Linked DNA regions of Oryctolagus cuniculus. The protein of the gene in region 1 interacts with the protein of each later gene in a biochemical or structural test. Links are inferred from orthologs where the notes say so. Each region holds a gene or a part of one and is shown in the gene's direction. Other genes may lie near its edges. The genes, in order: NCK1, LCP2, ERBB3, MAP4K1 and FASLG.

Region 1 (2,354 bases):
ACTGTCCACTCTGCCTGTCCAAAAAAAAACCTGCATCCCACGATGGAGTACCGAGATTGGGTTCTCAGCTCCAGCTCCTGATTACAGCTTCTTGCTAATGCAGGCCTTGGGAGACAGTGGTGATGGCTCAAGTAATTGGTTTCCCGACCACCTGTATGAGAGACCTGGATTGAGTTCTGGCTCCCAGCAGAGTTCTGGCCCCACCCTGGCCATTGTAGGCATTTGCGTGGGAGTGAAACCAGTGAATCCCTGCCCGCCCACTGGGGTGTTTGTGTACGTGTACACATACCTATCAGATATATACACAGTAAGAGTAAAATAAAATTGGAATACTTGCCAGCATTGAGGCTGTGTTCCTGCAAGATCACACTCACAGCTGAGGAAATGACCGCTTGTTTTAAATTGGCCATACACTGTCTATCTACTCTTCCCTCCCTATACCTCTTATTTACATTACTCTTTTGACCCTTGTAGGCATTTGAGTTTGTGACCTCTCATTAGAGTTCAGTTCTCATTGACATTTCCTTCATTTTTGAGACTTCAGAGTATTATCTGAGTATTCAGAGTATTATCAGTTACTATTAGCAACAAATTGAAGAGCTGTAGGCTGGATCCCTTAGATTTTTTTTTTTTTCATGTGTTTCTCCAATAGTCTGGAGAGAATATAGCTCTAGTGATTCAACTGTTAAACTAAAGATTTTCCATTATGTTATGCCATGGGTGCCACGGATGATGAGACTCTTGACTACATGGATTTCACTTGAGACTCTTTTGTTAGCTGGATGGATGATACTGGGCAACTTAGTGTTTTTCCGTCTTTAAAAAAATTTGTTTTGAGGAGTAAAGGAGATAGGTTATTTAGCATGTAAATAATTTTGCATGGTACTTGTACTTTAGTAAGTGATCACATTTTATGTTATTAGTTTAATATAAAAATGCTGATAGATGGCTTTCAGAATGTTTTTTTTTTTTTCTCTTTCAGCCAAATGATTTCTCTGTATCACTAAAAGCACAAGGGAAAAACAAGCATTTTAAAGTTCAACTCAAAGAGACTGTCTACTGCATTGGGCAGCGTAAATTCAGCACCATGGAAGAACTTGTAGAACATTACAAAAAGGCACCAATTTTTACAAGTGAACAAGGAGAAAAATTATATCTTGTCAAGCATTTATCATGATACTGCTGCTCAGAAGTGACTGCTGTACAGCTTTAATTCATCATGTAATTGAAGACTGAGATAACGTTGGTCCAGTCATACTTGATTGGAAATTGCTATTTCTAACTCTGTATGAGAATTGACTATATACCATAGGTATTTTTATTATAACTCAGCTCATTCACATATGCTACGTATGCAATGCATTCACATAGAACAATTCCTTATCTTTGGTCTTCTGTTATTTACTTTTTCCTTTTTGCTTCTAATATTGAGGTTTTGTATTTTGAAAAAAAGTCAAATAATACAGATCAGAAGTCTTTATATGGAAGAATTCCTCTATTGCCATTTGTTTATTTCCTTTTAGTGGCACCCTGTTAGTTCTGCAATGGTTTCTCTTCATATAAAATTATATATATAGCATATGGTAAAATAAATTTCTTGGAGAATGTTAATCTTTTCTGTGACTAAATAGCAATAATAAATGAAAAATTAGAAATTATTTTCAGGTATTGTATTTGCCACAGCCATTGTAAATACAAAGTAAAGTATTATGTCTGCCATTATTTTTAAAAAATGCATTCATTATCTTCAATGTACTACAAAGCAGGTGGGACATGGGTTAGAAAACAGCTTGTACAATTTTAATTTATAACTGTTGGAAGCAAAAATCACTAAATTCTTCATTTTGGGAGGTGTTTTTTGTGGTTATTCAAGAGAACAGAGCAATCTCTAAAATATTTAGCTTAAAACTAAACAGCTGCTGTAGTGTTGCTTTCTCTCCTTGTGTTATTTTACCAAAGCATCTTGTATAAGTACATGTTATATTTATACCAGGGTGAAATAAATTACGTCTGACTTTTGGGGAAATAGGAGGCAGTCAGATACCTATAGTTTTTCTCCCTAAACATCTGTAATTGTTAGAATAGTGTTTCCTGTTTTCATTTCCTACATTTGTTCACTGGGACACTAAAATTGTATATCTGAGGGAAAAGTGGAATGTGCTTATGATTAGGGAGTTCTATTTTATTTACCAGATAGGAGAGTGGGTGTCTGGATGAGAGGCTACTGGAAAGTATTGAATCTACTTCTGTAGGCTACAGAAGAAAACCAGTTGTATTTTATGGTCACAGCTTTTCTCTCCAGTATTTATTCTGGAGATTAAAATTTAAGCAGGTAACCATCAACATTTTAATAA
Region 2 (4,059 bases), on another chromosome or scaffold:
GTCCCCAGCACCCACTGAGGTGAGGCTATCACCAGCCCATGCACCATTGTCCAGGTGCCGGGCCTGGGACTAAATGTGTGCCTCACTTAAGCTCGCAACCGGCTAGGGAGGCAGGAGCATGACATGACAGTGGGCTCCTTACATTGTGTATAAGATGTAGAGTGTGTGTGGCCAAAGCTACCCTTGAAAAACCTTCAGGAAGGCACCATGCAGGGACTGTCATAGCATTGCTCAGTAAGGCAACAAAGCTTGATTCTTTCCCAAAGCACCAGCACTGGTGGCTATGTGTGTGTGTGTGAGAGAGAGAGTGAGTGTGTAGAACCGAGTGAAGTAGCTCTATTTTGTTCAGAGGCCACTGCTGCATTGCACAAATGCATTGCCTTTTAGACCCTGGCTTGGCTGTCTGACAACAAGTTGCTCCGTCTATAGAAATGCACAGTCTGAGACTGGTGAAGAAATTAGAAGATTCCTACTCCTGTCTCCAGGGAATGTGCTTTTTGATTGAAACACATGATGTCATCAACAGTGAATAAAACATGAGCTGTAAACACACAGTGGAATCCAAGGCACCAGCTGTAGCAATTGTCACTTCTAGCTTTCTGATTTTTTCATTTGAAGGTTCTCAAGTTAAATGCATCTATTTGTTATGTGTGTATAAGGCAATTCCTCTGCTTTCCTATTTTACATATAGGGAAACTGAGCTCCCCAGATTTTAAGTCCTTGCCTAAGGTTGCACAGCACAGAGAAGCTCCCATCAGAAGGGAACCCGGGTTGGCCCAGGGTAGCGCCTTGCTCAGCCTTGGATGCCTGACGCACTACAGACTCACCCTCTCATTTCAATGGTAGCAGGCAGAGACTGCTAGAGACTAGGGCTGAGAGAAGAGGGAAGAAGGGGCATCATGCATGCGTCCCCCCACACCACAGCTCCCTGTTGCTGGAAGTTGTCTATATTTTAGGTCAATTGTCAGATGAATAGATATTCATCTGCAAAGCCCCAGCAGAGCAAGAACGTGGTGTAGACCCATGGGGTGGGGCTGAAGGGACAGGAGTTTTAACAGCAAAATGCTTGGGCTGGCTTCGGAGTTTAAGCGCCCTTCATGGCCCCTCCTGCTGGGCAGGGGTGCCCAGGACCACGGGCGAGGTGGAGAATGACCTGCCCTGTCACTCTGTCTGCATCTCAAGCCCTCAGAGCTGGGCTTCCTTGTTTACTTATTTAGAAGCCAGCAGAGGAAGTGGTAAAGGAAACTAGCCAAGTCGTTTTCTGAGAAGAGACCATATTTGTTCGCAGAGGAAGCTGCTGCTTTCTGGGATCCGACTACAGCAGAAAAGACGTCTGCTCCAACAAGGCCGATCCAGGGGCAGCTGGGAGTTGGGAGAGCCAAGGACGCCTCCAAGATCTGGATTTGGGGTTCTCTGTCCATGGGTGCAGCATCCACGCTCAACCTGTGAGCCCCCTCCTAAGACAGCGGCCATGGCACTGAGGAACGTGCCCTTTCGCTCCGAAGTCCTCGCCTGGGACCCTGACAGCCTTGCTGACTACTTTAAGAAGGTGAGACCCACTCTTTTGTTGGTGGTCGGGCTGGGAGTGCCCTCCATGGGCTGGGCAGAAGACAAGAGGTGTAAAAGACAGCTGTGGAGTGACTGGCCTCTCGGCAGCCTTGTTGGGAGAGTGAGCGCCATGGGAGACCACTGAGAGCTCCTTGCAGTGAGTTCTGGAGAGGAGGGTGGGAGCAGGAGCTCTTGAATGAGTAGGTGCCTACCATGTGCCAGGGCCTGAACTCGGTACACTGCAGCACTGTGCCATTGATCCCTCTTGACAATCTTCTGAGGTCAATATTGTCATCCCTGTGGCTCAGCTTCAAGGTAGGCTCAAGGAAGCTAAACAGCCCAAAGCCACAGGGACTACAGGTGGTAGTGACAGAAGGATTGGAGTCACTTCTGTGCAGTTTCAGTCTGTGCTCTGAGATGAAGAGAACTACATTCTAGAAAGGGGAGACCTGGTGCTCTGGGTGCAGAACAACAGGCAGGGAAGGAGGCAGGGGTAGAGGGTGAACAACGCTAGACATGGCGTTTGGCCACTCACTGCTCAGGGCCCAGAAAGCTGGGTCCTCAAGTTCTTACATAGATCAGAGTCTCACTGCAGTGGAGCCGGGACCAGGGTTGCTGTCCTACCTTCCAGACTTGGAAGAGATGCTCAAAGATCGTCTGCTTGTCCACCTGCTGGTGGGGATGACAGGACACAAGCCTGCCCGAGCAAGTATGGATCCTCTGTTCCTGTCTCTAGCATAGGATGCCTTGCAGGGGACATTTGCTCTCTTTTTTAAGATTTATTTATTTGTTTGAAAGTCAGAGTTACACAGAGAAAGGAGAGGCAGAGAGAGAGGGAGAGAAAGAGCGAAAGAGGTCTTCCATCTGCTAGTTCACTCCCCAGTTGGCTGCAACGGCCGGAGCTATGCCAATCCAAAGCCAGAAGCCAGGAACTTCCTCCAGGTCTCCCATGTGGGTGCAGGGGCCCAAGGACTTGGGCCATCTTCTACTGCTGTCCCAGGCCATAGCAGAAAGCTGGATCGGAAGTGCAGCAGCCCATATGGGATGCCGGCGCTTCAGGCCAGGGCGTTAACCCACTGTACCACAGCACCAGCCGAAGGGACATTTGCTCTTCTAACATCCTCTTCCCTGCAGGCTGGCACCACATTTAGTTGATACTGCAGACCAGCATAAAGAAGAGCTTGTAGCACTAAGACTTTACATGTCATCTCACTTAACTGTTTTTCCTGGGGAAACTGAGCCCCGCGGGGGTGGAATAGGCTCTCTGGGACACATAGCTGAACCTGAGGTCTCATAGTACCAAGGTATTTGCAGTGATGATGGTTCTTCCCCAGCCTAAAAACAAAAACCTTGAACCAGGTGTGGCATGGTAGGGGCACAGCCCCACAGAGCCTGTCGTTTTCTGTTTCTTGTGCATTTCACTTCTGTTGTCCCCTCTGCCTCCACCCCACACATGTATAAAGTCATAACAAAACTAGGTTTTGGGTTTGTAGATGCAAAGATCATTGGACAACTGGCCCGACTGGCCTTTGAAGAGTGTTTCTAATACTTCTCTGAGATAGGGCGATCAAAGGTAAAATTTGCCCAGATGGAAGTATGTGGTACGTTATTGCAATAAAGAAGGGAGAAAGGAGTTGAGAGTTACAGAGGGAAAGGCCCAGGAGAGGCTGAGGGGCTATTTCAAATGTGGTCAGAAAAATTTCACAACTCAGCTGACCGACAGAGAGTCTGTAGACAAAGTTCCTGTCAGCGCAGGGCGATAGGACAGACTGGAGGGCAGGACACAGCTCTCTGTCTGAGTTCGGGGAAGAGATGATTCTCTTCTTGGAGTTCTAAGACCTTGCAAAAACTGCATAGCACTGGGCCAGGTTCCCCTCCCGGCACAAAAGGACCCAGGTAGGAACAAGGAGGCAGAGGGGAATCTGTGACCCTGGAAGTCCCAGGCCATCTCAGTCCCCAAGAGACAGAACCAGGAGCGCACTGACTGCAAGTTCATTTGGGGATGGATCTTAGTGATCAAGCATACCCATTTAACGCATCAGTGGGTAGGCGTTTGGTGGGTGCAGCTTCTACCCACGTGTCAGGGTCAGGCTTCCCTCAGTGATACCACGCTGCCCAACTCTGGAGTCAGACACACCTTGTTGGAACCCTGGCTCTGCCACCTGCTAGTTTGGTGGCCTTCCCTTAGCTACTTCGCCTCTCTGAGCAAGTCAGTCCTCAAGAGAGAAAACATTGCTCAACACAGGGTCATCTGGGGATGGATCTTGGAAATAAAATGTATCATTTCACGGGTTGATTGGTAGATGATTGGAAGGCAATTGGTAGGCACAAGTTCTACCAAAGCAGGCAATTAAACAGACATGAAGGGTAACAAACCCAGTGGAATGGTTGAGAGGAGTAAAGGAAATAGTGTATGTGAGGCATTCAGCAGACAGAGGTATCAAAATGTTTATTGCTCCCAGTTTCCTGCTGTGTTAACTGGCCACTCATTGGTATGTGGATCGCAGGGCT
Region 3 (3,514 bases), on another chromosome or scaffold:
CTGTGCGACTTTGATGTGCCTTCTCTGTGCTTAAGTTTGCACATCTGTACAGCGCAAATAGCACTCATCCTTCCAGGGAGACTGTTAGGGAGAAAGGGGATAATGCACATGAAAGTTCTTTGAAACGCACAGAGCACTGGATAAAAGGTACTCAAGGTGCCGACTTCCCAGCTCCCCAGCAAAGGGAAAACCTACCCCTCCTGACTCCTGAGCTCGCAAGCACAGCTTCTTCAGTCCTTGGGATCTGTTATTCCTAGATATGCCCATAGTGCTTTCCAGGGCTAAACATAATTCCCATTCCTGCCCCCACACCCTGGGCTCTGCTGCTCCTGGTAGCTATTGCGGGGAGCAGGTTGGTATGGGACATGTGAGTGGGCTTTCCTGAGTTTCTCTTTCCCATCTGCTCCTCAGAGCTTAGAGCCTCTGGATCCCAGCGAGAAGGCTAACAAAGTCTTGGCCAGAATCTTCAAAGAGACAGAGCTGAGGAAGCTTAAAGTGCTTGGTTCCGGCGTCTTTGGAACTGTGCACAAAGTGAGTGACCCCCAGGAAGTCTGGGGAGGTAGGGAATGGATCTGGGGGCAAAGGGCTGACCCTGGGGAGAATGACCCTAGGCTGACTCCTGCCCCAAACTTCCCAGGGTGTGTGGATCCCCGAGGGTGAATCCATCAAGATTCCAGTGTGCATTAAAGTCATCGAAGACAAGAGTGGACGGCAAAGTTTTCAGGCCGTGACGGATGTAAGTAAAGGAATGCTGTGCACCGGTGAGAGAGGGGACAAGATCAGACACAAGCACAGCCTGTGTTAGCAGATACTGTGTTAGACATGCTGATGCACCTGAATGTCCGGGGACGCCCTGGTTGGGGTGTGCCCGTGATTCCTGGATAACATCTCCCGTGTCTCTTAGCACATGCTGGCCATCGGCAGCCTGGACCACGCCCACATCGTACGGCTGCTGGGACTGTGCCCAGGGTCATCGCTGCAGCTCGTCACTCAATACCTGCCTCTGGGTTCCCTGCTGGATCATGTGAGGCAGCAGCGGGAGTCGCTGGGGCCACAGCTGCTGCTCAACTGGGGCGTACAAATCGCTAAGGTGAGAGGAGCATGGCGGGAGTCCTGCGGGAGCCACCTTGCTGCAGCAGGCAGGGCAGGGGTGAGAAGATGACAGCTTTGCAGTGCTTAGAGGACCCTCAAGGGTCTGGGGGCATTCAGGAGGTCCGCAGTGGATTTCCTCCGAGCCTGGGGCTATTTCCTTCCCCTACAGGGCATGTACTATCTTGAGGAGCACGGTATGGTGCACAGGAACCTGGCTGCCCGCAACGTGCTGCTGAAGTCAGCCAGTCAGGTTCAGGTGGCAGATTTTGGTGTGGCTGACCTGCTGCCCCCAGATGATAAGCAGCTCCTCCACAGTGAAGCCAAGGTGAGGGGACACAGAGGGCCTCGTGAGAGGTGGGGTAGTGTAAACAAAGCACGGGGGAAGTCTCTCAGAGCAAGCAGATGCTTCACCGTTAAATTCATGGAGGGCAAGGTGGGGTTGGCAGAAATTTAAGTGCAGACGGCAAGAAGGAAAAACGATAGCATGCTTGGGGTTTGGAAATGCTAAGAAAATTTGTGGAAATGGACTAGTGACACCTTTGTCTTTACTCCCCAGACTCCAATTAAGTGGATGGCTCTTGAGAGTATCCACTTTGGGAAATACACACACCAGAGTGACGTCTGGAGCTACGGTCAGTGCATCTGGGTGCCTTCATGCCATCACTGTCCCAAATTCCACGACTACCTTTTTTTTTTTTTTTTAGTTAATTAATTAATTTGAAAAGCAGAGTTGTAGAGAGGCAGAGAGGAGAGGCCTTCCATCCACTGGTTCACTCCCCAGATGGCCACAATGGCCAGAGCTGCGCCAATCCAAAGTCAGGAGCCAAGAGCTTCTTCTGGGTCTCCAATGTGGGTGGCAGGGGCCCAAGGACTTGGGCCATCTTCTGCTTTCCCAGGCCATAACAGAGCTGAATTGGAAGCGGAGCAGCCGGGACTCGAACCGGTGCCCATATGGGATGCCTGCTACACCACAGTGCCAGCCCCCACAACTGCCTTTGGAGATACCCTCTCTTAGACTCTCTAAGCCCTTCACATCTTGTGTCTGACCAACTTCTGCCTCCCTTTTTACTTCATTGCCTATGGGTACTGTTTTCTTACCAGGTGTGACAGTTTGGGAGCTGATGACCTTCGGTGCAGAGCCCTATGCAGGGCTGCGATTAGCAGAAGTACCAGACCTGTTGGAGAAGGGGGAACGGTTGGCACAGCCCCAGATCTGCACCATTGATGTCTACATGGTCATGGTCAAGTGTGAGTCGCCTGCTGGCTCCAGTCAATTTTTTTCAAATACTTATTTATTTATTTATTTTTAAAGATTTATTTGAAAGAGTTACAGAGAGAGGTAGAGAGGTCTTCCATCCACTGGTTCACTCCCCAAATGGCCGCAATGGCTGGAGCTATGCCAATCTGAAGCCAGGAGCCAGGAGCTTCTTCCAAGTCTCCCAAGTGGGTGCAGGGGCCCAAGGACTTGGTCCATCTTCTACTGCTTTCCCAGGCCATAGCAGAGAGCTGGATTGGAAGAGGAACAGCCAGGACTAGAACTGGCACCCATATGGGATGCTGGCGCTTCAGGCCAGGGTGTTAACCTGCTGCGCCACAGCACCGGCCCCTATTTATTTTTCTGAAAGGTAGAGTGACAGATCTATCTGTTGGTTTATTCCTCAAATGACTGCAACAGCCAGGGCTGCGCCAGGCTGTCACAGTATCCAGGAACTCCATCCAGGTATCCCACATGGGTGGCAGGGACTCAAGTACTTGAGCCTTCATCCACTGCTTCCTGGTGCTTTAGCAGGGAGCTGGATAGGAAGCCTAGTAGTTGGGACTTAAACCAGCACTCAGATATAGGATGTGGATGACCCAAGGAAGAGGCTAAATTGCTGGCCCGACATCCCCCCCTCCCCCAGCCTTTTTTTTTTTTTTTAAGAGAGAGATCGATCTTCTATCTGCTGGTTCACTCCCCCAATTGGCCCCAAAGGCCGGAGCTGCGTTGATCTGAAGCTAGGAGCCAGGAATTTCTTCTGGGTCTCCCACGCGGGTACAAGGGCCCAAGGACTTGGGCCATCTTCCACTGCTTTCCCAGGCCATAGCCGAGAGCTGAATAGGAACTGGTGCTCATATGGGACACCAGAATTGCAGGAGGTGGCTTTACCCACTATGCCATAGCACTGCCCACCCCCACCCCCACCCCAAGCCATTTTTTCACAGTTGATCTTAGCCAAAAGGCTGAAAATCCCAGCTATTTGTTAACTGTTCTCCCTCCCATCTCCTCTTACGGCTCCATGCACACTGACGGTTTTTTACCTCCTGTGTCTTATCCTAGGTTGGATGATTGATGAGAACATTCGCCCAACCTTTAAAGAACTAGCCAATGAGTTCACCAGGATGGCCCGAGATCCACCACGGTATCTAGTCATAAAGGTGAGTA
Region 4 (4,157 bases), on another chromosome or scaffold:
ATGCCCTCCCCACGAGCCACCCTTTGCTCCTCCATTCCGCGTGGCCAGAGCGCTCCGCCTGACCGGGCTCAGACCTGTCGATACCCTTGAGCAACTTGCCCACGTTCGCTCTCATCTGCTCAAACATCGCCATGGCTCCCGCCGCCTTCCGCAAGCAGCCCGCACCAGGTCTCCCAAGGCCGGAAGAGGAAAGACGTAGCGGAAACGGAAACGACGTACGCGGCTCGGCACCGCCGGGCGCGCCGAGGCGGAAGGCGCAAGCGGCGGCGGCCACGCTTTCCGGCTGACACGTGATCCGCCCCCGCCCCGCAGGCGTAATTGGCGCCTGCGCGTTTGCTCCGCCCGAGCTGGACCGACCGCGAGAGAAAAAGCTCAGTGTGACCCAGGGCGCAGCCGCCGTCGTGGGAGCGAGGAGGCGGGGCTGAGCTTTTCCCGGGCCTCGCAGGTCCCGCTTCGGGCCCGGGGACGCGCGCGCGCGCGCACGAAGGCGCCAGGAAGAGGCCGAGCCCTGCCGGCGTGCGTGCACGTCGTATTGCGCGCGGCCGTGAACCCAATGAACTGTGCGGGAAGGCACGGAGCCGCCTTTTTTTTTTTTTGGGCCGCGGCCGAGTCCCGACCATCCTGGGCTCCTGAGACAGGATCCCGAGCTTCTCCGTTTCAAGTTTTGAACTGTGGTCCCCACCCTCCGTCCCAGCTCCAGCCACAGGGGAATAGGGGTCCACGAAGCCGTGCGCTCTGCTGGGCAGAGGCTGGGGTAAAAGGTTCCTAGCCTCCGCCCCCTGGCTGAAGGCTTAGACCCCCCTGTGTGCCGCATTGAGTTATTTGTGTCAAGACTGTACACTACACACGCGGGTACACATGCATGGCCACATACGTGGAGTGTGCGCTCTGGGTAACTCCACGTGTACACAGATACCCAGGCATGCACATGGTTAGGCCTCTGCAAAACTCTGGGCACACGGATGTGTCCTAGGGAACAGGTGTGCAGGCTGCACGGCCGTCCCTGCGCAGACCTGCCACTTCCGAGTGTAAGCACCCATGGCTAGTAGCCCCAGACACCCTCCAGCAGCCCAGGACTGGAGGAGGGGGGGAGAGGGGGTGCTAGGGCGCTCCCCTCCCCAGGTTACAATTAAGGCTATTTGCATCTCATTTACATCCAGCCCCCGGCCTTGGGGGCGTAGGGGGGTCCCCTGGGTCCCGAGGCAAGCTGCTCCTCACTGGCTTTCGGAGCCCAGGGGACAGGGGTGGAGCCGTTTGCCCAGGCCTGCAGCTGGGACAGGAAGCGAGAGTGGGGAAGGGGGAGGCCACAGCCCACAGAGAGGAGGCGAGGCGGTGCAGGGCTTGTGGGGAAGGGAGGGAGGGAGGGAGGGAGGGAGGTGCCAGAGCTGGAGCCCTGAGGCCCCGCTGGCCCCTGGGCACAGGCCCAGCTCCAGCCCCCAGGGATGGACCTCGCGGACCCCGACATCTTCAACAGGGACCCCCGGGACCACTACGACCTGCTTCAGCGGCTGGGTGGCGGCACCTACGGGGAAGTGTTCAAGGTGAGCAGGCCTCTCGGTCTCTCCGTCACCCTGAAGCCCAGGACCTTCGGGCTGAGGCCCAAGCAAGGAAGGGGGTGCAGGAGGGCCCCAGTGCTTAGCCTTGGCTCAGGGATGCTGGGGTGGGGGGTGGGCTCGGGCGGATGGAAACCCTCCAGCTGCAAACTTGCCCTTTCCAAGGCTCGAGACAAGGTGTCGGGGGACCTGGTGGCGCTGAAGATGGTGAAAATGGAGCCTGGTGAGCGCAGGACCCGGGACCCCTGCCCTCCCCTCCCCTCCCCTGCCGCACCTGCGGGCCCCGCTGGGCCGGCCTCCTCTGCCTTCCCGGCAGCTTTCTTTTCTCTCCGCCCCTGCTCGCAGACGACGACGTCTCTACCCTGCAGAAGGAAATCCTCATATTGAAGACCTGCCGGCACGCCAACATCGTGGCCTACCATGGGAGCTACCTCTGGTGACGGCCTCCCCCTACCCCGACCTGGGGTCCTCCCTCCCAAAGGGGCACCCGCTGACCTCCTCTCCGATTCTGGAGCCCCATCTTCAACTGGGGCACCTCGAGCTCACCCCCGAGTCCCAAACCCCGCTTTTCTGCCCAGAGCCCCCTTTTCTGCACGGTGGTCCCCAAATCAATGCCTTCCCAGGAGCCAGGCCTGAACTCAGCTCTGCTGGAGACTCGGCCCTCCCCTGGCTTCCCGCTCTGCTCCTTTAACGGGACCCCTGCAGTTCCCTGCCCCTCGGATGAACGCTCCAGACAACCTCAGCCCCCCCCCCCCCCCAGCCCCCTGCTCGCACGCGCCTCCTGCTCACTTCCACGGTCTGAGGGCTCTCACACAGCAGAGGGTGCAATGGGTCTGAAGGCCAAAGACCTGGGTTTGCGCCGAGTCGCCCCTGAACACAGTTTCCTTTCTGAGCCTCAACTTCCCCCTCTGTAAAATGGGAATGGGGTGGGCAGAGGGAAAGGGAGGGATGCCACCGGATGCTGATGGTCTTGCGCCCAGGGCCCTGCTGCAGATGGTAACGCGTTGCCGCTGCTACTGGCCTGATTGCTACTCTCCAACCGCTGCAGGCTGCAGAAGCTCTGGATCTGCATGGAGTTCTGTGGGGCTGGCTCTCTCCAGGACATCTACCAAGGTCAGAGGGGGGTGGGGGATCCAGGCCCCTCCCCGCTCCCCCCATCCCTCTGCGTGTCCTTGGGAACTGGTTTTCTGGTCTGGATTTTAAACAAGGAGCCCCTTCTCTGGCCCCGGGTGATGCTGAGGGTGTCATGATGACCCAGCATGCCCCGGGCCTGGCCAGCCTCAGTCTCTCTGCAGGCGGTGATTCCCCCCACCCTCCCCCGCCCCGCCCCACCCCTGTCCCCATCTTGGTCTCTGCAATTTCTGGCTTATTCCTGGGTCTCAGCGCGCCTGCGTTCTCTGGCCCCTGGGAGATGCCCCACCGTCCTCGGATGAGGGGCTGAATTTCCAGTTCTGGCTCTTGGCCTGCCCTTGCTCCGACCACCTCCCCTGTGCGCCCGTCTGTCCCTGTCTTGATCCCCTCTTCACCCCTCCTGTCTCTCTCTTGCTGACTTGCCACATCTTGGTCTCTGTCTCAGTTTGGATCTGTCCCTGTTCCGTTCTCTCTCTCTCTCTGCCTCTCCTCATTTGGCAAAAATCACATCACTCTGCCATCCACAGCCCACCCACGAGAAGCCCACACCTCTCATCACGTGAGGCCCCGGGTCTCAGCCCACACGTGATGACCAAGCTCGCCTCCTGCGACCTTCCTCCCCCCACGTCACTGCTTGTCAACCCCCTCCCGCTGCCGCCCCCGGCCCCTGCCCTCCCATCCTCACGGCTGTGACCTTAGAATAGCCACTGCTGACCAGCTGCGCCCGGGGTCAGAACCCTGCCCACACGCACTTCCTGTTGTCTGTTCTGGCTCTTTCTTCTCGCTATTGGCGCCTCCCGTGGGCTCCGTTTTGCTCACCTTCTGGTCCGCTGCCTGCCTCCCCGCCCCAGACTGTGCTCTCCCCGAAGCCAGGGACGGTTTGCCTCCGCCTCCCGGCTCTGCCCTGGTGCCTGGCACCCAGCAGACACAGCACCTGCCTGCGGAGCTGAGCGACTGCCCCCCTCCAGCCTGGCTCCTCGCTGAGCACCCTTCCATCTCCCCCTCCCCGATGGCACCCTCTCAGCTGGTGTGGGCGGGGGCCGGGGGACCCCCTGGGGCTCTGGTTGCCCAGCTCCCCCCAACACCCGGCCTGGCCCGCGTGCCCCTTGCAGTGATGGGCTCCCTGTCTGAGCTGCAGATCGGCTACGTCTGTCGGGAAGTGCTGCAGGTGAGGAGAGCCTGGGCCCTGGTGGGGCTGGGGCTGGGGGTACAGGGCAGGCGGGGCCCTACTGCAGCCCCACCCACCCAGGGGGCACTCACGCACCCCCTGCCACCCTCTCCCCAGGGACTGGCCTACCTGCACTCACAGAAGAAGATCCACCGAGACATCAAGGTGGGCTGGGCGCTTGGGTACCCGACGGGAGTGACCTCGTGGTGGGGCCAGGGGGCAGGGCAGCGCTGGGCTACACAGCAGGGGCTCCAGCAGCTTCTGGGCCCCTCTCTCGTCCCCAGGGAGCCAACATTCTCATCAAT
Region 5 (4,290 bases), on another chromosome or scaffold:
CAAATGTAAGGAAAAGGGGGCCACAGAACAGAGAGGAGACAGGGTACAAACTCGCAGCCAGACCAAATTTATTCAGAGAAAATAAACTCACAGAGGTTGACAAACTGCCATCAAGCTCACAGATGGAACACGTGGCAGAAGCCCAGACCCTAGCAGGCTGGGCCTGTTTATAACTTAGGTGGGCTGGGGTGGGGCTGGGGGCAGTAGGCCGAGGTGAGTTTCTCCCTATTGGTTCTTCAGGTTTGGCCCACTGGCTTCCAAACCTGGGGAAGAATGCGGGGGGGGGGGGGGGGGGGGGGGACAATACAGGGAAGGAGACTGAACTCCTCTCTTGAAAGAAGACAGGGTAACAAGAACCTAAAGTGGCTGAGGCTCCTGTCCTTGTTGCATCAGTTCCTGTCACCATATGGTAGACTTGGATTGAGTTCCCAACTCCTGACTTCAGCCATGCCCAGTCCCAGCTATTGTAGGCACTTGGGAGTGAATCTGGAAGATGAAAACTTCCTCTTTCTCTCTCTCTCTCTCCCTCCTTCCCCACTCTCTGATGCAATACAATTTTGAAATTCATTAATAGAGTTTTCATTGTACACATTTTCCATGAACTTCTTGAAAACCCCTTGTACATTTGGTATTGACGTGGTCCACGTGAGAGAGCCAGAACGACAGTCACAGAAATCTCACAGTGTGATGTAGAAACTAATGAAACTGAAAAGTAGACATCTTCAAAAGAACAGAAATTGAAGATTTGTGGAAATTTTATACAGTTTTTATGGGAGAATGATTAAGAGTGAGGCTGAGTACTTGGAAGTTATTGGCATATTAATGGTATTTGAGACCAAAAGAAAGGGTGAGGTCATAGCCCAGGCACAGTTGCCATCTTTAGCAAAAAACAAAGTTAAAAAAAGGACACCCTTTAAAATTTGAATTTCAGATAAACAATGAATAACATTTTAGTACAACTCTTGCATTGTTTAGGACATACATACCCTGAAGCTTATTTGTTGATCTGAAATTCAAGCAATTCTAGTAAACATAACAGCAGCTATGAACAGGGCTGCCTACAGGGGCCAGAAAGCCATTTCACAGGTGAGGTGGTGTGGGAAACACAGTACAGGGTGGAGGGACCTTGGGGGTGGAGGTTGGGCTACCTGGTCACCTGTGTCTCATTCCTGGGGACACTTGCTCCTCACCTCCAGCTGACTGAATTTGTGGAGATGGCCTTAAAAATATTTACAACAGAATGAAAATAGGTATTTTAATGTGGACTGTCTTGATTTTACAAATGAGAAACAAATCATCAAGAAGTAAAAACAGAGCTAGGCTGTGAGATCCACAAAGCATATCTGATCTAATCTCTAGAGTGGGCGGGGCAGGGTCTAATCTGTAAATTATGGTGATTTGCAGGGTTCGGGTAAACAGTGCTTGGTGTGGGGAAGGGATGCGGGAGGGGGATGATTTCCTCTTGCAAGTGACTCCAGTCTCCCCGCTCAGCGCCACTCTCCCTGCGCCAGCACTGCGCCCAGTGCTGCCCTGCTCTGCAGGCCCGAGGAAGGCGGTCACGGCTCCCTGCCTTTTCAGGTAGCGCAGCCACGGCAGCTGTGGCTCCGGGGGCTTTCATCAGAAAGTTGTGGGCGGAAACTTCCAGGGGTTGGCTCTGAGCTTCTTGAGGCTTCTCAGCTGCAGATATAAGGTGAGTGGGTGTCTCTCTGAGAACTAGCAAGAGAAGATGAGAGAGAGAGAGAGATTGATTGGTGTTTCCCTTGGTGTGGAAACTCTATAAAGCGAGAGCTGGCTGTTCCTCTCTTAACAGTGAGCAGCAGGAGTTCCTTCTTCGACATTGCAGCCTCCACAGGACTGAGAAGTAAAATCCTTGGGAGTCCCTGGCTGCCATGCAGCAGCCCTTCAGTTATCCATATCCCCAAATCTACTGGGTGGACAGCACTGCCAGCTCTCCCTGGGCCCCTCCAGGGTCAGTTCTCCCCTGTCCATCCTCTGTACCTGAAAGGCCTGGTCAAAGAAGGCCACCACCACCACTGCCACCGCCGCCGCCACCGCTACCACCACCACCACTGCCCCCGCTGCCCCCACTGCCCCCGCTGCCCCCACCACCCCTGAAGAAGAGGAAGGACCACAGCACAGGCCTCTGCCTCCTTCTGATGTTTTTCATGGTCCTGGTGGCCCTGGTTGGATTGGGGCTGGGGATGTTCCAGCTCTACCACCTGCAGAAGGAGTTGGCCGAGCTCAGAGAGGTAAGCTGTGTCCAGCAATCACTGGGGTGGGAGGAGGGCTCTGCTGCTGTGGGATGGAGCCTCCTGGGGTCTACCCGGACCACTGTCTTGCTTGCAAAGTGCTTTTCAAGCTTTACTGTTTGTCTTGGAAAGGGATTGTTCTTGTCGTTCTATTCTATAGGTAGAGAAATGGAGGGTCCTATGAATGAAGAGGTATTTTCTGTCTTGTAAAGAATTTGAGCCATATGGTTTTGCCTTTTTCAGTTGTCATGTCAGTCTGTGAAGCCACTGACCTCAGATCTAGTGATTCAAGAAATAAAAAAAAAACTTTGAGTCTGCTTAGAAGTGAATGTATTCAAATGACCAGACTGAATTTCCTTGAAAACATTTTAAAAAATCTGGTACCATTTCAAATGACAAAACTGAGGGACAATGAGACAAACTTGTTTGGCTAAAGTCTGAGTTAGGAAAGGTTCTGAGGAGTTTGGAATCTCTTTCGGGGGCTGGCTTATTTGGCAATTCCTCCACTGATTAAAGAGCTTCCTATTTATCATACATCTTTTCTCTTTCTTCCGGTAGTCCTTCAGTCAAAGGCACACAGCATCATCATCTATGGAGAAGCAAACAGGTGAGTCCTTTTATTCATGTGATTTGAATTTCCAAAGATAATCCTTAGCACTGAACATTGTTGGGGGGATACCTTGAATCCTATCCCATTCCTGGGCTTGTGAATATTATGAGAAGAGTCTTGGACAATTCTGAACCCCTGGTCAGTGTGGTTTCTTGAGCATCTTTTAAAATATGAAGTGAATTTCACTGCTCAAAATCAGTGTAGCTGAGTGTTTCACACAATGCAAAATACTTTTGACTTGACTTTGGGATGAGACACACATACATAATCCTGGAGCCCTGCCATTTGGGCAGCTGGTTGCAGGCCCATCTCCTTCCTCAGGAGTCCTAGTTAGGTATGGGCAAAGAGAGAAACTTCTGGGAAATGTCCTCTCCTCTTCTCAACTCCAGAAAAGAGATCACTCAAGAGTCAAGCTTCATTTAAGACATTGTACAAGATTTAGCTAAGCTTTTGATAAGTGGACAATTTCCCACATAGCATGGTTCCTTTGAAGTCATGGGGAGGCCTGGGAGAAGATTTAACCCATATTCAAAGGATTATTCCACTTTACCTATGAGATGTTTTTGACAATAAAGGAAAGTCCTTTGTATGAAATCCAGTACAAGAAAAAGGTAAAAGTGTTGAATTCTGGCTTCATTAAATTTCAGAGCATAGATTTAGACACTGTGGACAAGTATATTTTAGGATTTGCTCCATTTGTATTAAACCAAGATTAATTGACTTTTTAAACTTGGTTAGAACTGAGAGGGATCTTAAAGATCATCAGTTCCACCCATTTCATTTCTCAGAAGAGAAACAAAACATCAGACAGATTGGGTGATGTGCCCATGACTACTGGGTGGCGCTGGGGCTAGAAGGGATGTAGGCTCCTGCTGCCTTGGCACTTCCAGGACTTTCTAGCATGTGGACTGGTGCCTCATGGAAAGACAGAAACTCTTGCTTGACTGTAATTGCCAGGGGATGAGAAAGAAATGGAAAGCAGGACACTTCTGCAAAATCAGTAGGTAATTTTTTTCCTTAGAAATGTGGAAGAAGAGAGCAGGCAGGGCTAGCCATCCATTAAGTGCTGCCAGTTTCAATCTCAGGATAGCCTACTGCAGGTGGCCCAGGTCAGCGACTTCCCTGGAGCATAAACTCATGTAGGAGCCATCACTGAGATGCTCTGGCCCCTTGTTCTGATGTGGTAGAAACTCAGGAGGGGCACAGAGTGGAAACACTTTTTAGAAAAACGCAGCCTCTGGAGGACTTCTAATGTCACTTTGAAAATCAGGGGACTGTGGCTAGGGAAACAGGTACCTCATTACTCATCTCTCACCCACTCTCTGGAGGCGTTTTATTGGTTAAAAGTTAAATGAACAGATGAGTCAGGTCTACCTACCCCACTAAACTCTTATCTTCTCTGCATCAACCCAGACAGATCAGAAATTAGGG

The links.
Region 2: the proteins of NCK1 (region 1) and LCP2 form a complex in vitro, tested with the Homo sapiens proteins (2 studies listed by BioGRID and IntAct, with this or other methods). The link is inferred for Oryctolagus cuniculus from reciprocal best matches to the Homo sapiens genes NCK1 and LCP2.
Region 3: the proteins of NCK1 (region 1) and ERBB3 form a complex in vitro, tested with the Homo sapiens proteins (2 studies listed by BioGRID and IntAct, with this or other methods). The link is inferred for Oryctolagus cuniculus from reciprocal best matches to the Homo sapiens genes NCK1 and ERBB3.
Region 4: the proteins of NCK1 (region 1) and MAP4K1 form a complex in vitro, tested with the Homo sapiens proteins (2 studies listed by BioGRID, with this or other methods). The link is inferred for Oryctolagus cuniculus from reciprocal best matches to the Homo sapiens genes NCK1 and MAP4K1.
Region 5: the proteins of NCK1 (region 1) and FASLG form a complex in vitro, tested with the Homo sapiens proteins (2 studies listed by BioGRID and IntAct, with this or other methods). The link is inferred for Oryctolagus cuniculus from reciprocal best matches to the Homo sapiens genes NCK1 and FASLG.

The regions. Positions count from the first base shown.
Region 1 is NC_091435.1:144,670,181-144,672,534, reverse strand, and holds the end of NCK1 (SH2/SH3 adapter protein NCK1), read left to right. Parts: intron 1-982; coding exon 983-1,177; 3' UTR 1,178-1,850; downstream 1,851-2,354. UniProt on the Homo sapiens protein: Adapter protein which associates with tyrosine-phosphorylated growth factor receptors, such as KDR and PDGFRB, or their cellular substrates. Maintains low levels of EIF2S1 phosphorylation by promoting its dephosphorylation by PP1.
Region 2 is NC_091437.1:57,184,411-57,188,469, reverse strand, and holds the start of LCP2 (lymphocyte cytosolic protein 2), read left to right. Parts: upstream 1-1,258; 5' UTR 1,259-1,471; coding exon 1,472-1,549; intron 1,550-4,059. UniProt on the Homo sapiens protein: Adapter protein primarily involved in signaling pathways within T-cells, as well as other immune cells such as platelets, mast cells, and natural killer (NK) cells.
Region 3 is NC_091442.1:58,896,799-58,900,312, forward strand, and holds part of ERBB3 (receptor tyrosine-protein kinase erbB-3), read left to right. Parts: intron 1-411; coding exon 412-531; intron 532-637; coding exon 638-736; intron 737-904; coding exon 905-1,090; intron 1,091-1,261; coding exon 1,262-1,417; intron 1,418-1,648; coding exon 1,649-1,724; intron 1,725-2,193; coding exon 2,194-2,340; intron 2,341-3,409; coding exon 3,410-3,507; intron 3,508-3,514. UniProt on the Homo sapiens protein: Tyrosine-protein kinase that plays an essential role as cell surface receptor for neuregulins.
Region 4 is NC_091449.1:16,067,385-16,071,541, forward strand, and holds the start of MAP4K1 (mitogen-activated protein kinase kinase kinase kinase 1), read left to right. Parts: upstream 1-1,352; 5' UTR 1,353-1,442; coding exon 1,443-1,541; intron 1,542-1,718; coding exon 1,719-1,776; intron 1,777-1,898; coding exon 1,899-1,989; intron 1,990-2,601; coding exon 2,602-2,666; intron 2,667-3,796; coding exon 3,797-3,852; intron 3,853-3,969; coding exon 3,970-4,017; intron 4,018-4,136; coding exon 4,137-4,157. Other genes in the region: EIF3K (eukaryotic translation initiation factor 3 subunit K), read right to left, coding at 75-814. UniProt on the Homo sapiens protein: Serine/threonine-protein kinase, which plays a role in the response to environmental stress. Appears to act upstream of the JUN N-terminal pathway.
Region 5 is NC_091438.1:1,340,224-1,344,513, forward strand, and holds the start of FASLG (tumor necrosis factor ligand superfamily member 6), read left to right. Parts: upstream 1-1,482; 5' UTR 1,483-1,889; coding exon 1,890-2,249; intron 2,250-2,807; coding exon 2,808-2,856; intron 2,857-4,290. UniProt on the Homo sapiens protein: Cytokine that binds to TNFRSF6/FAS, a receptor that transduces the apoptotic signal into cells. Involved in cytotoxic T-cell-mediated apoptosis, natural killer cell-mediated apoptosis and in T-cell development.